2 linked regions of the Caenorhabditis elegans genome follow. The protein of the gene in region 1 interacts with the protein of each later gene in a biochemical or structural test. Each region holds a gene or a part of one and is shown in the gene's direction. Other genes may lie near its edges.

Region 1 (7,954 bases):
TTTAAAATATGTCTTCAAAAGAGTACGGTAGTTTTTTATTTAATTCGCAGTGTTTTTTTATTTTTATTTTTAATAGTAGATGAGAAGAAACATCAAAAATTGTGCTTCCAAGAGTCGACAGTCAAAATTCGTTAATCTAATTTGAATTTCGCGCGAAAATGTTTCAAATGATTCTCGGCCGTGTACTCCTCTCGGACAATTAATAAATTGTTTAATTTTGGATGTTTGTAGAGGTTTTTCGTGTTTTCTCATGATTTTACGGGAATCCTTTTGATTTTTTTGGTTAAAAACAAATTATTGGTGGTCTATGAATGCATTTTTCACTGTAAAATAGTGGAAACCGCCGTTATCCTCTTGAGAAAGTTCTAAAGTTCCATAAATTGTTCAGTTTCGCGGTTTTTCATTGAATAATTTGTAATTATTGTTTTTCGAACGTACAATTATCAAAAGAAAATCACGAAAAATCGCCAAATATTCCAAAATTCGATCGAATGGAGGTTTATTCTTCATTCCCTTCAAAATAGATTTATAATAATCTCTTGTTCGAACACTCCCTCTTCCCGCAGCGAAAGTGTAATAAAATGTCCAATAATCTAGCTAGATCTAGTTCAATAACTCATCAATTATATTGCCCTTTGATGTAGTTTTATAATGTCATAAAGTGCACACTTCTAAGAGTGGGCAGCTAAAAAATGCACTTGTTGCTCTTTTTTTCGCACCCTTCATACTTTTTTGGATCGATTTCTTTCATTTGATATTCATAATGACCTAATGTTTCCGCTGTACACTGTATCTGCACTCACGTGATGGGTCTCGCCACGGTAATAATATTACAAAATGATTTTGCCTATGCGTCTTTGAGTTTACTGTAGAAAATTAGTAATACATTTTTCAGCTCTACTTCTTTCTTCGCAGATTATTTTTCTGTGAGAACAAGAATACACAATTTATCCATTTCCATTCAATGAAAATGTATGACAGCGTGATTTCGATAAATCAACAATTGAATCCTTTTTCTTTAAACTTATAACTTCAATTGACATATTTTTAATTTCATTGTAAAACTTGGAATATAATTTCGTTGGTTTCAGTCTCTCATCCGTTCCAAATTATAATTCCAAACTCTCGAACGCGGAGACATGCGCACGCTCCTCTTCCTTTCCCTCGAGTAGGCGTCGCTCCTTCTCTTTTATTGATTTGTCGTGCTCTCCGCTCTTGTTTGAACGCGACCAATATGACTCATTTTTTTAATATTTAAAGTTTTTAAGCACATGCATAGTGCATTGCTCGCTTTCTACCTCTACGCGTTGTTCATGGCTCTAAAAACAAAGAGCGTACATTTTTTGAAATTCTATTTAAATAAATAAAATTATTATTGAGAATTCATCCGAAATATCTGTGAAATATCAAGCCAAACATATTTTTTATAATCCTAAAGTTAATAAAATTAAAATAAAGTATAGTCATTTTGTAAATTTGCTCAAAATGACAGAAAATGGACCGTAATAACCAAATATAGATGTTAAACATGCATAGAACTTTTCTAAATTTTTTTTTTAATTTTGCAAAAAGGTTCTTACGGTACATTTTTAATCAACCATTAAGTTTTACAAATCTTCATAGGTATAATTTTTTAATGAACAAATTGTTTGACTGGCAATAACCACGCATTCCTTCATTCGATTCCTTATCGAACCAGCCGTCTGTCTGAATATGATGTGAATTTCTTTTTTATTCTGCGTCTCCTCAATTGACATACTCTCTACTCAGTTTCCCAGAACGAAGTCTCTCTCATCTGACATTATATCTTTTTTGCGCTGTTCGTTTCACATTTTTCTTTCTCTCTCTCTCTCTGATTGGCGATTTCGAGATAAATCGATAATCTCGATCTTTGCTAAACTATTTTAAAACACAAAAAATCATTGCAGGGTATGACTCCGGCGACGGCAGAGGTGAAAGTTGGAGGGAGAAAACGGAAGAATGGTTAGTTGGAGAATAGGACATTTACTGGAATTTACAAAAATCAAATTCTTAAAATCAATTTTTAATTAATTTTGAAACATAAATCCCAATCGCGCCGAGACCCGCGTATTCTAACACAACGCTCACCTTTAAAAATAGTTAATTTTTTATTCGAGAAACTCGGCCTGAAACTTTTTATTTAACTTCTTGTTTAAATTGTAATTTAAACTATTATAATTAAAGTTTTTCCTGTTTTCTTAATTTTTCCACCAGTGAAAATTATTTTCGGCAATTCTACAAAATTACCTATTGTGCCATTTTGTTCCATCATATTTTATTACAAAACAGTGTCAAAAAATAGAAAATTACTTGAATTATCTAAAAATAACATTTATTTAAGCTGAAAAAATTTGAAAAATTGTTCAAAAATGGCTTGAAATTCGATGTTTCGTTTAATCAGCAATTGGCAACTCTCAGGCCATTTTTGAACACTTTCCCAAAATTTTATGCTAAAATAAATGAAATAAATGTTATTTTCAGATCAATAAAGTAATTGTCTATAGTTTGAAATTAATTTTTTTTCTGTCAAATTATAGTAATTTTTAGCATTTTTGAATTAATACTTTAAGCTTATTTTTGCAGATGAGCCGGTTTTTATCAAGACAAAACAATCGAGGTCAGCTCGTCGAGAAGAAGAAAAAGAAAATCTTTTGAACAAATCTCTTCCGTCAACTCCAACTTCATCAGAGGCCGGAAGTTCTCGGGAATCTTCAAATCCAGTCACAAGCTCCAGTAGACGAAAGAATCCACCTACCAAATTAGAAAATATTCAAAAAACGTTGCCGACTTGCAGTGACGGACGTTAGTTTTAAAAATCATTAATTAAAATCTCAATTTTTCTATTAATTCACATTTTTTCAGTTGAAATTCGCAATTATGTGAAAAAATATGGATTGCCGGAAGATAACAAGTTTCTCGTTCGTAATGTCTTCGACAAACAATTATTATTTGGAAAGAAATATGTGTGTAGAAGGCGTGTGATTAAAAGCATCGATGAATTTTTCCCGCGACTAAAGACCGATGCGGTTTGTTTGAATTTTTGATGGATTCATTTGCAAAATAAATTTTTCTTTCAGCACAGAGAAAATGGTTTATATAATTTCTGTACTCTACAATTCATGAAAATATCCTCCTGGGGAAGTTCGATGGATGAGAAGATTTGTTAGTTTATTTTTGAAAATTTTGAAAAATTTGAAACGAAATCTCGATAAAAACACTTAATTCGAAAAAGACCAACAGAAAATCACTTTGAACTAAAAATATCTATTCAATATTGATTGAAACCATATTTCACAAGAAATAAAAGTCTTTTTGAAATTTGGTTTTAAAAAAAATTATTTTTTTAATTAAAAAAGTCAAAAAAAATTGAAAAGTTCTGATTTGCATTATAAAACAAAAAATGAATTAAACTCAATAAATATATAGCCAGAAAACGCGAAAATGTCGGAATTCGCTTTTTTTTTCAGTTTTTGCAATTTCCTAAAATCACACAAAATTTATAAAAATTATTTTTTTCCTATAGTTTAAAGCAAATTTAATGATTTTGAAATGTTTGAGGTTTTTTTTCAAAAAGTAAGAACAATATTTCCAAAAAAATGAAATTATTTTCTAATTGTAAATTAAGATTCAAAAATACACACACACATAGTTTTTTTCGGTTTTAAAATTATTTTCTCATTAATTCATTAAAAAAAAGAACATTTTCAGATGTTACTTCTGCTGCAATTGTTCAAAGCTACGTGATAATTGTCGACGATAATGATTCAGTCACCTGCATTGAAAATGGAATCTCAGTTATTCCAATGGCGAATAGAACGTTACCATCTATCTCCTATAACAGTTCAAATGTAAAAAATATCACTTTGACGGGCCCTGAACTGAAAAAGGCAAAAAACGTATATCTCGCAGTGATTGTGAAACGAAAAACACCAAAACTTGGAGAAAATCGAGTTGGGACAAGTGAGTGAAATCATTTCTTTTTTTTAAATAAAAAGTTTCTTTTGTAGGAGGAAAATCAACTCGAGCATCATTCGAAACGGCTGCTTCCTCAGAAAACTTTCAGCAACTTGTTCGTTTTGGGTGCACTTTGATGTATGATAAGGATGCTGAAATTAACTGCCTAAATGACGGAGTTCAACGTATTATCTTACTGTAAGTCGCTTTAAAATTATAAATGCAAAAATTTAAAAACTTAAAAATTCAAAAAAAATTAAAATACTTTAAAAGTTTTTTTTTCCAAAATTTATCCGAAGGTGAATCTATAAAATTAAACTGGCCTGCTAATTTTTTAAAAAGGGGGTTTTCTGAAGATTTTGAGCGAAAACTGTTGTCAAAATAAATAAAAAACTGAAAAACATTTTTTTTCGAGAAACACGCGCTCAAATTGACGGGTATACGGTAGAAAATATTTTTTCAAAAAAAATTGTATAATGAAAAATATTGCTCTTGATTTTTCCAGTGATCGAGAAGAAAAGCCAGCGTATTTGAAAATTTTCGGGAAGGCCGATGAACCGGAACTCGAGAATGCTTGGATGAATAATGTTAAGCATTTGGAGTTTATAAGCGATACAAATTATAACAAAGAGGTAACGATGAAGAGTTAATAAACTTTTATAAATAATTGATTTTTTTCTACAGGATTCTCATCTCGCTCGTCTAATCTTCTCTTCAAATACTCATAATTATTTCGATAGACCGGACATTTCAAAATTCTCTCCATGGCAGCCGCGATCCAGAAGGACGACACTAAAATCTGGGTGAGAAATTCGATTTTTTCTCTTTTTTTAATTTTGTTTTTATCTGGTTTTTGCACGACCGTAATCCCGCACGCTTATTGTGTTTTCCATCATTTTCAGAATCTCCGTCGAGCCAGGAACGAGTTGCGATGAGGATTGTGGATCGCAATATGAAGAGTTCGTTTTTGATCCCTACCACCTGATTTTTTGTTTGAATATCTAATTTTTAAATCACTAAGTTTGCTGGATTTTTTCCCTTACAGAATTTCTAATTTCGGGTGCATTTCTTCTTTTTTCTTAGTTGGCTGTAATTGATACCTTCCAAATAGCTTGTCGTGATTTTTGAAAACCGTGAAGCTGCATTTCAGAATTTTTGAGTTAAAACTGGGGGGTTTTGTCCAAAATTACAGAAGGCAATCTGCATACACCGGATAGAACTTCAAAAAAAATCATCTAAATTTTATAGTTAATCACTCACTACATTGGATATTCGCGGAACTTCATGTTTCTATCCAACCATAGATCATCTAACTGTTCTTCAAAATTGTTTAGAAAATATAATTACAGTACAATCACTCTCAAGCAGTTACTCCTTGGAACGAAAAAGCTATGCGGAAGACGTAAGAGACATTTGACCCGACTCACTTCAAGATGGCCGTGTTTTTCAGTCGATCCGACGAAGGTAATTCTTAAAAAACTATAATTTCAAAGCTTAAGTGCAATTATTTCAGATCAATTCATATTTCAATGAAACTGGTGTCACTTTGCTGGAAAATTCGTGTTCCTACCGTCCTGGAACTCAACGAAGCATTCCAATAAAACCTACCCGAGTGATCAGAGTTAGAGAAGAAACTCCAGTTTCCGTTCCAATTGAGGTTATTACGATTGAAGATGATTCAGATGATTCACCATGTTTTTCTGCGAGAAATCGAGCACCAGGTGGAACACGGAAATATGGATTAGATTTTATACAATCTTCGGGTCATATGCCATATATTCGTTATGTTTATATGAACAGGTAATTTGATTTAATGCAATCCAGTAAAAAAATATATGATTTGCAGAGCAAATGACTTAGTGCCCCAGCTGAATGGCGAAGAAAATGGAAAAATCGAAGGTCTTATGGAAGCATATCCGATGAATAATGCTCACATGTATTCAGATATTGAGTTCCTGAGAAAAGAAAAAGTAAGAATTGTTTTTAAAAAAAAGACATAAAAGTTGTAATAATTTTCGCTTTTTTCACTAAAATCGAAAATGGAATTTTTTGTTTCGATTTACTGATTTTTGCAAAAATAAAACAAAACTTTAAGATTTTTCTTTTTTCCGATATTTCGAAAAAATTGCATAATTTGTTTTCTTTTTAGAAGCAATTTGTATGTATTTCTGAAAAAGCGAACAAAATTGTTTCCTGAAGGCGAAATCTATTTTTCCCTCAAAAACCCAAAAAAAAAAAAAAAAGTGAGAAAGGAAAAATTGAGAACCTTTCATTATATTTTTTGAATTTTTTGAATTGACTCCAAAAACAGGAAAAAAAAAACAAAAAATCCCAGCCTTGATTACGATATTAAAAATTTTCTATTGTGACATGTTGCTCCAACAATTTGTATTTAAAATTAATGTCAAAATATAGAAAAACACTCGAATTATCTGGAAATAACATTTATTCTGGCTGAAAATTTTGAAAAAGTACTCAAAAAATGTCCTGGAAGTTGCTGATTGCCAATTATCGAATTATTGAATTTCAGGTAATTTTGAACACTTTCTCGAATGTTTTAGTTGAAAAAAAGTTATTTTCAGATAATTCTAGTGATTCCTGCACTGAACACTAAAAAAAACTTGTCGCCGCAAACAAAAAAAATTAAAGCAAAATTACAAATTTCAGTTGAATCTTCCGAAGAATGCTCAAAAATATGGCGAAATGACAATTCTTGACTATCCACTAACGAAGACGGAAACGGACGAATATAATAAAAAGATGTCTGTGATGAATGTCAAAGATTTTGCGGTTAAACCCAGAAAACCTATTCCAACAGTCGGAAATACCACTTTAAGTTTGGATTTGGAAGGATGTCCTATATCGACATTTTCAGAAATATTCTTCCCAAGTGGAAAAACTGAACTATTCAATATTCTATGCAGACAGTAAGTGTTATAATATTAAGTCATATATTAAAACCCAATTTTTGAAGTTTCTACTCTGAAGCTGGACAACGCCCTGGATGCTTCTCAGCACAATGGAAATCTAGAGTTTTGGTGAGTTTATTGAACATTCAGGACTAGATTGGCAAACGTACGGAATTGCTTAGTACAGTATTTTTGAATCAAAACCTTTAAACTTCTTTTCAACGAAAATGAAAATTATTTTCAGAGTCTTTGATTCTACAAAAAATGAATTAGCGTACTAAAATAAGCATCTCAACACTTTTGCCAAGATTTGCCTTAACTTAGAACGCATTTTTGAATTTTTCATAAATAATTTTCAGACTGGCTTCATCAACAAATACCATCAGTACATTTTCGACATGAAATTGAATTCTTTATTCGAGAAACAAATAAATCTCATCGCTATGGTCAGCCCTGACTGGAAATTAGAAGATTTTGAATTGCCCATGGTTCGATATAAGCAATTGAAAAAAGAATGGAAAAATCGCCAACGAGATATACCATCTTCTAATTAGATTATCCCCTTTTTTCCTTGTATCTTTTTCTTTTTGGAAATCCTGTGTTTAATCTCTTTTCCATTTATCAATCAACTATACCAAATCGTGGTGGGTGGCAATTCTACTAAATGACATTAAAAATTAGTCTGAAAACATAGAAAATAATTTGATTCTTCTGCAAATAACATTTGTTTCAGTTGAAACACTTGAAAAAATGATTAAAAATTACCTGGAAGTTGGAAATTGTCGAATTTTGCTATTCGGCAATTGGAAACTTTCAGACTATTTTTGTGCAATTTTCAAATCTTTCAGCTGAAATAAATGTTATTTTCATATTTTTAAATAAATTAATTTTCTATTTTGAGACTAATTTTTAATGAACAATATTGGCCAATTTATGGAATTGCCAAAAGTAATTTCCACCCACCGCTGATCCCAAAAATACTACAATTTTTAGCACCTTTTGACCCAAAGAACGTCGTACTTCAATGATCTTCCAGATTACACGAGTCATCACTAAGTTTTTCTTCATTT
Region 2 (6,752 bases), on another chromosome or scaffold:
ACATTTGTCCCGGACCATGTTTTGAAGCTTCTCACTGATATGATGTGTTTCGATGATTTGGCTCTTGTAAGTTAAATGGTCACTAATTTCAGCGGGAATTCAAAAACAATTATGGTTTTCAGGTAAAATGTGCCTTCAAACTTCTCGGTGCATTGGAGCTATCACTTGCGGATTTCGAGTACTATAGAGTGCACGAGACTGCTGCTCAGTTCCAGTACAGATTTGTTGAAGCAGACGAGTTGGTGCGAAAAATTGAACAATTGCGACGGGAGCTGTCAGACGAGTCGTTGCTGGATCAAGATGCATGTTTTTTTTCAAAGAAAAGTTTAGGGTAACTATTAATTTTCCATTTTAGATCCCAAATCTCGAAATGGATAATTTCGATCAGACAGAGCTGCTCCCAAAACTTCTCGATAATCTCCACTTGCATGGTGATCAAGAGGAAGGGCACTACAAAATGATGGAGAATTATGAGTGGGCCCTTTGGGAAGTTCTCATGGTGCACCTGGTGCAATCAATTAAGACTGGGAATCGACGAGTGGTGAGTTATAGATTAATTTTTACAATTTAAATTATAATATGATATTTCAGATCACAAGAGCCATAATCCACCACCAAGAGCACCGGTTTCCACTGGCACTTTACAGAAAATACGAGATCCAATCACTGATCCGAGCTCTTCCTCGTAAGATCTCAGCTGCTTCACAACTATTTGATGAGATCGAGCTAATTGAGGAGTCCACATTGAATTCCCAGCATATTGAAGCTTTCCGGGAGGTGAAAAAAGCTGTGAACGGAATGGAAGAAGGAGAAGAAGCATGGCCAGTGCTCATGTCTTTGATGATGGGATTCTTGAAGCAAGACGATGGATTTGTGAGTTTACCTCTGATGTTTTTCTCTATTTTCAAAATAATATTTTTCAGGTTCACGGAGCCGTTGAGTTGCTACTGAATTGCAATATTTCACGGGAGCGATTTGTCGAGTTTGCGGTGGAGAATACTCTACTGAATCTTCCATATCGAACTGAAGAGATCAATGAGCTACTGGTGAAGATTCGGAGCATGGAACCGCGTCAATAATAGATTTAATTTTCTTAAAAATTTTTTTTGTAATTTTTCCAAAGTTCAAATAAAATTGTTCTTGGAATTATTCAGCCTTACTAGTAATAGTTAGTATGCAAAATTTTGCAAATATTACGGTACCCGGTCTCACCAAAACCAATTTTGGTTAAATGCAAAAAGGTGTGTGCCTTTAAAGACATAATTGCAAACTCTCAGGAATTTTCATCGATTTTTTTATAAGTAGGTTTTCCTAAATCCTTTTTTCGAAAATTTATTGATTTTTTTTCTATATTTAATATAAGCTTTTTAATATATTGCGATCGGAAAAAATTCGATGAAAACTCCGCGGCCACGAAAATTTGACTTTTATGTACTTTTTTAAAGGGTGCATATATTTTCGCATTTAACAAAAAATTGCTGTGTTGAGACCTGGCACCGTATTTTTAGCATAAAAATGGCAGAACTTCGCGCCTGGGTAACATATTTTGCAAAAAGCATTTGGTTTTCCTTGTCAGATTCAAATTCCAAACCTTCGCGCCAACTTCACATTATCAATAGGGCGCGATTGCACGCAACACTTGCAATGTTTTTAAAAATTAAAAATTGTTTGTTTTCGATTTATTCTCTCGTCTTTTTCGTCTTAATACAATTTTCTCCCTTTTTAAAACGCAATATTCTTTCAGAATGAGCAACTCAGAGCCCAGCACATCAACTCCCTCAGGAAAAACAAAGAAGCGCGGGAAAAAGTGCGAAACTTCTATGGGAAAATCGAAGAAATCGAAAAATTTGCCTCGCTTTGTGAAAATTCAGCCAATTTTTTCATCTGAAAAAATCAAGGAGACCGTGTGCGAACAAGGAATTGAAGAATGTAAACGTATGCTTAAAGGCCACTTCAATGCTATCAAAGATGACTATGACATTCGAGTAAAAGACGAGCTGGACACAGACATCAAAGATTGGTTGAAGGATGCGAGCAGCAGTGTTAATGAATATCGCAGAAGGCTGCAAGAAAATTTAGGAGAGGGCAGAACTATCGCAAAATTTTCATTCAAAAACTGTGAAAAATACGAAGAAAACGACTACAAAGTCTCCGATTCCACAGTTACATGGATCAAACCGGATCGAACGGAGGAAGGAGATTTGATGAAGAAGTTTCGTGCTCCGTGTTCACGTATCGAGGTTGGCGACATTTCCCCGCCAATGATATACTGGGTTCCAATCGAGCAAAGTGTGGCGACTCCGGATCAGCTGCGGCTCACGCATATGCCGTATTTTGGCGATGGTATTGACGATGGGAATATCTATGAGCATTTGATTGATATGTTCCCAGATGGAATTCATGGATTTTCGGGTGAGAAATTGCAAAATACCGGATTTTTTCCATTTTCTCTGAGAAACCCCCAAAAATCGAAAAAAAAACAGGCGGGACGAAGGTACCATTATTTCTATTTATTTTTACATTTTACATTCAAATTGCCTAATTTCTCACTTTTCAGTGAGAAATCGCCGTAAAATTTTTTTGAAATTTTATTTCAATTAATGTCATTTTGAATGTCAAACACAAAATTAGTTTTAAAAAATAGCCTTGAAAGTGAAAAATGCGAAAAACAAGTTCCCACTTGTCCACGTGTAGTTCTAAATGTTTCATAAATCGACATGCATCAAACCTCGGGACAATCTTGCAAATCCTTAGCTCCAGGTATTTTTTAAGCGAATTGATGTTAAATTTTTCAGACAACTGGTCCTATGTCAATGATTGGATACTCTACAAACTATGCCGTGCTGCGCTCAAAGACTACCAAGGCAGCCCAGACGTATTCTACTACACCCTCTACCGTCTATGGCCAAACAAAAGTTCACAGAGAGAATTTTCGTCGGCTTTTCCCGTTTTGTGCGAGAACTTTGCTGAAAAAGGATTCGATCCGTCGAGCCTCGAACCATGGAAGAAGACAAAAATCGCTGAAGGTGCTCAAAATCTTCGAAATCCGACGTGTTACGCGTGCCTCGCATATACATGTGCGATTCACGGATTCAAAGCCGAAATTCCAATCGAGTTTCCGAATGGTGAATTCTATAATGCGATGCTTCCGCTGCCAAATAACCCGGAAAATGATGGAAAGATGTGTTCTGGAAATTGCTGGAAATCGGTGACGATGAAAGAAGTTTCAGAAGTTCTTGTGCCGGATTCTGAAGAAATTCTGCAGAAAGAAGTGAAGATTTATTTCATGAAATCAAGAATTGCAAAGATGCCGATTGAAGATGGAGCGCTCATTGTGAACATTTACGTGTTCAATACATATATTGTAAGAGTACGCGATTTTTGCGCCAAAACCTGGCCTCGACGCGACAAATTTTTGTTAAATGCGAAAAGGCGTGCGTCTTTGAAGAGTACTGTAATTTTAAATTTTCAATAATTTTTCTAACAAGGGAAGAGTTCAAAAACTATTCCTGAATTCGGAATAAAAATAGTGTCATGCGATAGTTGGAGGTCTGAGATGATCCCTCCGAAACATTTTTATTGAAAAATTATATTTCCAGTGAAATTAATTTCTCGCAAGTTTTCTCTTTTTTTTAAAGCTATAAAGCTTGATTTTGCACCTTTTTCGTTATTTTGTTTTTCATTTTGCGTTTAAGAGTTTGTATATTATGTAAATCAAACTATTTTAAACAAAAAATAGCGAAAAATAGGAAAAAAGGGTGCAAAATCGAGCTTTATAGCTTAAAATGCAAAAAATCCATTCTCAGCCATTCTGCGAGTTTGTCAAAAAATATGTCGACGAAGACGACGAGGAAAGCAAAATTCGTTCATGTCGTGACGCATATCATCTAATGATGTCGATGGCAGAAAATGTGAGCGCCCGACGACTTAAAATGGGACAACCGTCGAATAGATTGTCAGTTGACGCGATTTTTTATATAAAAAATTGAATTGTTTCAGAAGTATCAAGGATCGAGTCAACAACTTCCGTCGTAATCAGTTGAGTCAGGAGAAGGCGAAGCGTAAGCTGCGTCACGACAGTCTGCGTATTCAAGCATTGAGAGATGGTCTGGATGCGGAAAAATTGATTCGAGAAGATGATATGCGTGATTCTCAGCGAAATAGCGAGAAAGTTCGCATGACCGCGGTGACGCCAATCACAGCGTGTCGACATGCGGGTGAGGAATGGAAAACAATTATGGGGTTATTCGTGAAATGTAGAAAAATGCAATAATTTGTTTTTATACATTTTTCACCTACCCATGTGCATCGAACAATGTAGCATTAATTTTTTGCATTTTTCGACATTTTTCGGCATTTCCTGCATTTTTCGACATTGGGCGACATCCCACTTCTCATGCTGAAGGCGAGACACGCAGAGAAAACCCGCGGGTGCATATCTCTCTGCGTCTCTCGCCTTCAGCATGTGAAGTGGGCTGTCGACCGATGTCGAAAAATGCAGAAAACGAATATTTTTTTGTATTTATTGGACACACATGTATTTATTGGACACAAATGAATGAAAACACATTTTTGCACATTTTACTACATCGCATTAATAACCCCATTAATTGAAAATTAATTTTTAAACATTTCAGGCCCATGCAACGCGACAGCCGAAAATTGTGCATGTCGTGAAAACGGAGTGTGCTCGTACATGTGCAAATGCGATATAAACTGTTCTCAGCGATTCCCGGGATGCAATTGCGCCGCCGGTCAGTGCTACACGAAGGCTTGCCAGTGCTATCGAGCCAATTGGGAATGTAATCCGATGACGTGTAATATGTGCAAGTGAGTGCACAGGAATTTTTTGAAAAGTTTTTTTAGTAAGCTTTAATTTTTCAGAACTTCCAGAAATGGAAATTTTAAGAAAGGAAAAAATTAAACTTTCCAAAAAAAATTGATCGAACTGAAAATTTCTCGAAAAAGAAGGACCAAATGTCCATTAAAAATCTTCAATCAAAATCCCAAATTTAAAAAAAGGTATATAAAATCAAAATAGCACAGAAAAATCGAATTTTGTACCTGAAAATTCTCAATTTAAAAACAAATTCAGATGCGACGCCATCGACTCGAACATAATAAAATGCCGCAATTTTGGAATGACTAGAATGATCCAAAAACGAACGTATTGCGGGCCATCGAAAATAGCAGGCAATGGACTTTTCTTGTTGGAACCCGCCGAAAAAGACGAGTTCATTACGGAATACACTGGTGAACGAATTTCCGATGATGAAGCCGAACGACGCGGTGCGATATATGATCGATATCAGTGCAGCTACATTTTTAGTATGTACTTTTTTTAGATCACGGTGTCGCAGAAAAATGTTTTAAATTTAAATTTTTTTTGGGTTTTTAGAGACAACATTTCGATTTTTTGAAAATCAAATAAATAAGAAAAAATTATTTCAAAAAATTAACAAAATATCGAAAAAAAAAACCATCAAAAGTTTTCTTTTTTTTTGAAAATTCAATTTTTCGGAACAAAAAAAAATATTTTTGCAGACATTGAAACCGGGGGTGCGATCGATTCGTACAAAATTGGAAACTTGGCACGATTTGCCAATCATGACAGCAAGAATCCGACGTGCTACGCGAGAACGATGGTTGTCGCCGGAGAGCACCGAATTGGGTTCTATGCGAAGAGACGGCTTGAGATTAGTGAAGAGCTCACATTTGACTACAGTTATTCTGGAGAACATCAGATAGCGTTCAGGTAGATTTTGCAAAAAGCTTTTCGGGTCTCGAGACGACTGCAGCTACCGTACCCTCTAGTTTTTTCCACTCAATTTTTAAAAATTTATAACACAAAGATTTTTTTGGATCAAAAAAATCATGATAAGCCGTAGAAAATTGTGGTTGGTTACGGTAGCTGCAAATTTTCGGTCGCTTCGAGAACCAGTTTTGTGTAGACTTTCAACTTGACTTTTTGAATAAACTTTTTCCAGGATGGTCCAAACCAAGGAGAGATCCGAGAAGCCCAGCAGGCCCAAAAGCCAGAAACTCTCCAAACCAATGACTTCTGAATAATCTTTTTTCTTGACTTTTTTTCTTAAATTTTTCCCGTTGATATCACTTTCAAATCTCAAGATCTACTTGTTTAACTGTTATTTCCCTAGAATCTCATGTTTCTGAATACATTTTCCTTCCTTCAAATTTCTGAAAACCATAAATATAATCGAATCAAAATTCCTCCTATAAAATCGCCCGACACAGCACAATTTTTTCACTTCTTCCTTAAAGATGGTGATTTTCTTCTTATTTTTCTTATTTCCCATGCTGCTGGAGGCTTCGGAAACGTAAGTTGGATTTTTTTCTGCAGGAAAATCTGAAAATGACAAAAATTCCAGTAGCAGAAGCTTAATCGAACCACCGGCCGTAATTCCTGAGAAACTCAAAACATTTTGCCAGATCGATCCAACGTACGAGATTTGCGTGAAGCTTGGCATTCCGAAAGCTGCGAGAAAGTTTGCAGCGAGATCCAAAATCCAGGGAAGACAGAGAAAAGGCGTCGATTGTAGGCAGGCCCCATTGCATCCGGGTTGTCAGAGATAAAAATGTTCCAAATATTATAGAAAAATTCCAATTATAGAAATGTGTACCTGGACAAGTTCATCGCGTGGAAAATTCATCACGATTGCGAGGTGAATCCAAATGGAGAATTTTGCCCGAAAACTTTGAATCGGAGAGCTTCTGCTTCTTGTCCATCCTCC

Evidence for each region. Proteins that work in one complex are often made in the same cells at the same time.
Region 2: of the proteins of mes-3 (region 1) and mes-2, one has a biochemical effect on the other in vitro, tested with the Caenorhabditis elegans proteins (one study listed by BioGRID).

Annotation. Positions count from the first base shown.
Region 1 is NC_003279.8:4,994,913-5,002,866, forward strand, and holds the start of mes-3 (Polycomb protein mes-3), read left to right. Parts: upstream 1-1,926; 5' UTR 1,927-1,931; coding exon 1,932-1,983; intron 1,984-2,604; coding exon 2,605-2,823; intron 2,824-2,883; coding exon 2,884-3,047; intron 3,048-3,098; coding exon 3,099-3,183; intron 3,184-3,729; coding exon 3,730-3,981; intron 3,982-4,028; coding exon 4,029-4,173; intron 4,174-4,480; coding exon 4,481-4,607; intron 4,608-4,659; coding exon 4,660-4,778; intron 4,779-4,877; coding exon 4,878-4,934; intron 4,935-5,324; coding exon 5,325-5,439; intron 5,440-5,488; coding exon 5,489-5,775; intron 5,776-5,821; coding exon 5,822-5,945; intron 5,946-6,642; coding exon 6,643-6,902; intron 6,903-6,949; coding exon 6,950-7,013; intron 7,014-7,243; coding exon 7,244-7,438; 3' UTR 7,439-7,954. UniProt on the Caenorhabditis elegans protein: Component of a Polycomb group (PcG) complex. PcG proteins act by forming multiprotein complexes, which are required to maintain the transcriptionally repressive state of homeotic genes throughout development.
Region 2 is NC_003280.10:14,382,231-14,388,982, forward strand, and holds mes-2 (Histone-lysine N-methyltransferase mes-2), read left to right. Parts: upstream 1-1,742; 5' UTR 1,743-1,745; coding exon 1,746-2,412; intron 2,413-2,795; coding exon 2,796-3,364; intron 3,365-3,806; coding exon 3,807-3,955; intron 3,956-3,999; coding exon 4,000-4,217; intron 4,218-4,637; coding exon 4,638-4,830; intron 4,831-5,095; coding exon 5,096-5,328; intron 5,329-5,544; coding exon 5,545-5,755; intron 5,756-5,987; coding exon 5,988-6,069; 3' UTR 6,070-6,224; downstream 6,225-6,752. Other genes in the region: sdz-26 (SKN-1 Dependent Zygotic transcript), read left to right, coding at 1-66, 123-302, 356-541, 592-873, 924-1,079; F26H11.8 (uncharacterized protein), read left to right, coding at 6,283-6,338, 6,390-6,594. UniProt on the Caenorhabditis elegans protein: Polycomb group (PcG) protein. Catalytic subunit of a the mes-2/mes-3/mes-6 complex, which methylates 'Lys-27' of histone H3, leading to transcriptional repression of the affected target genes.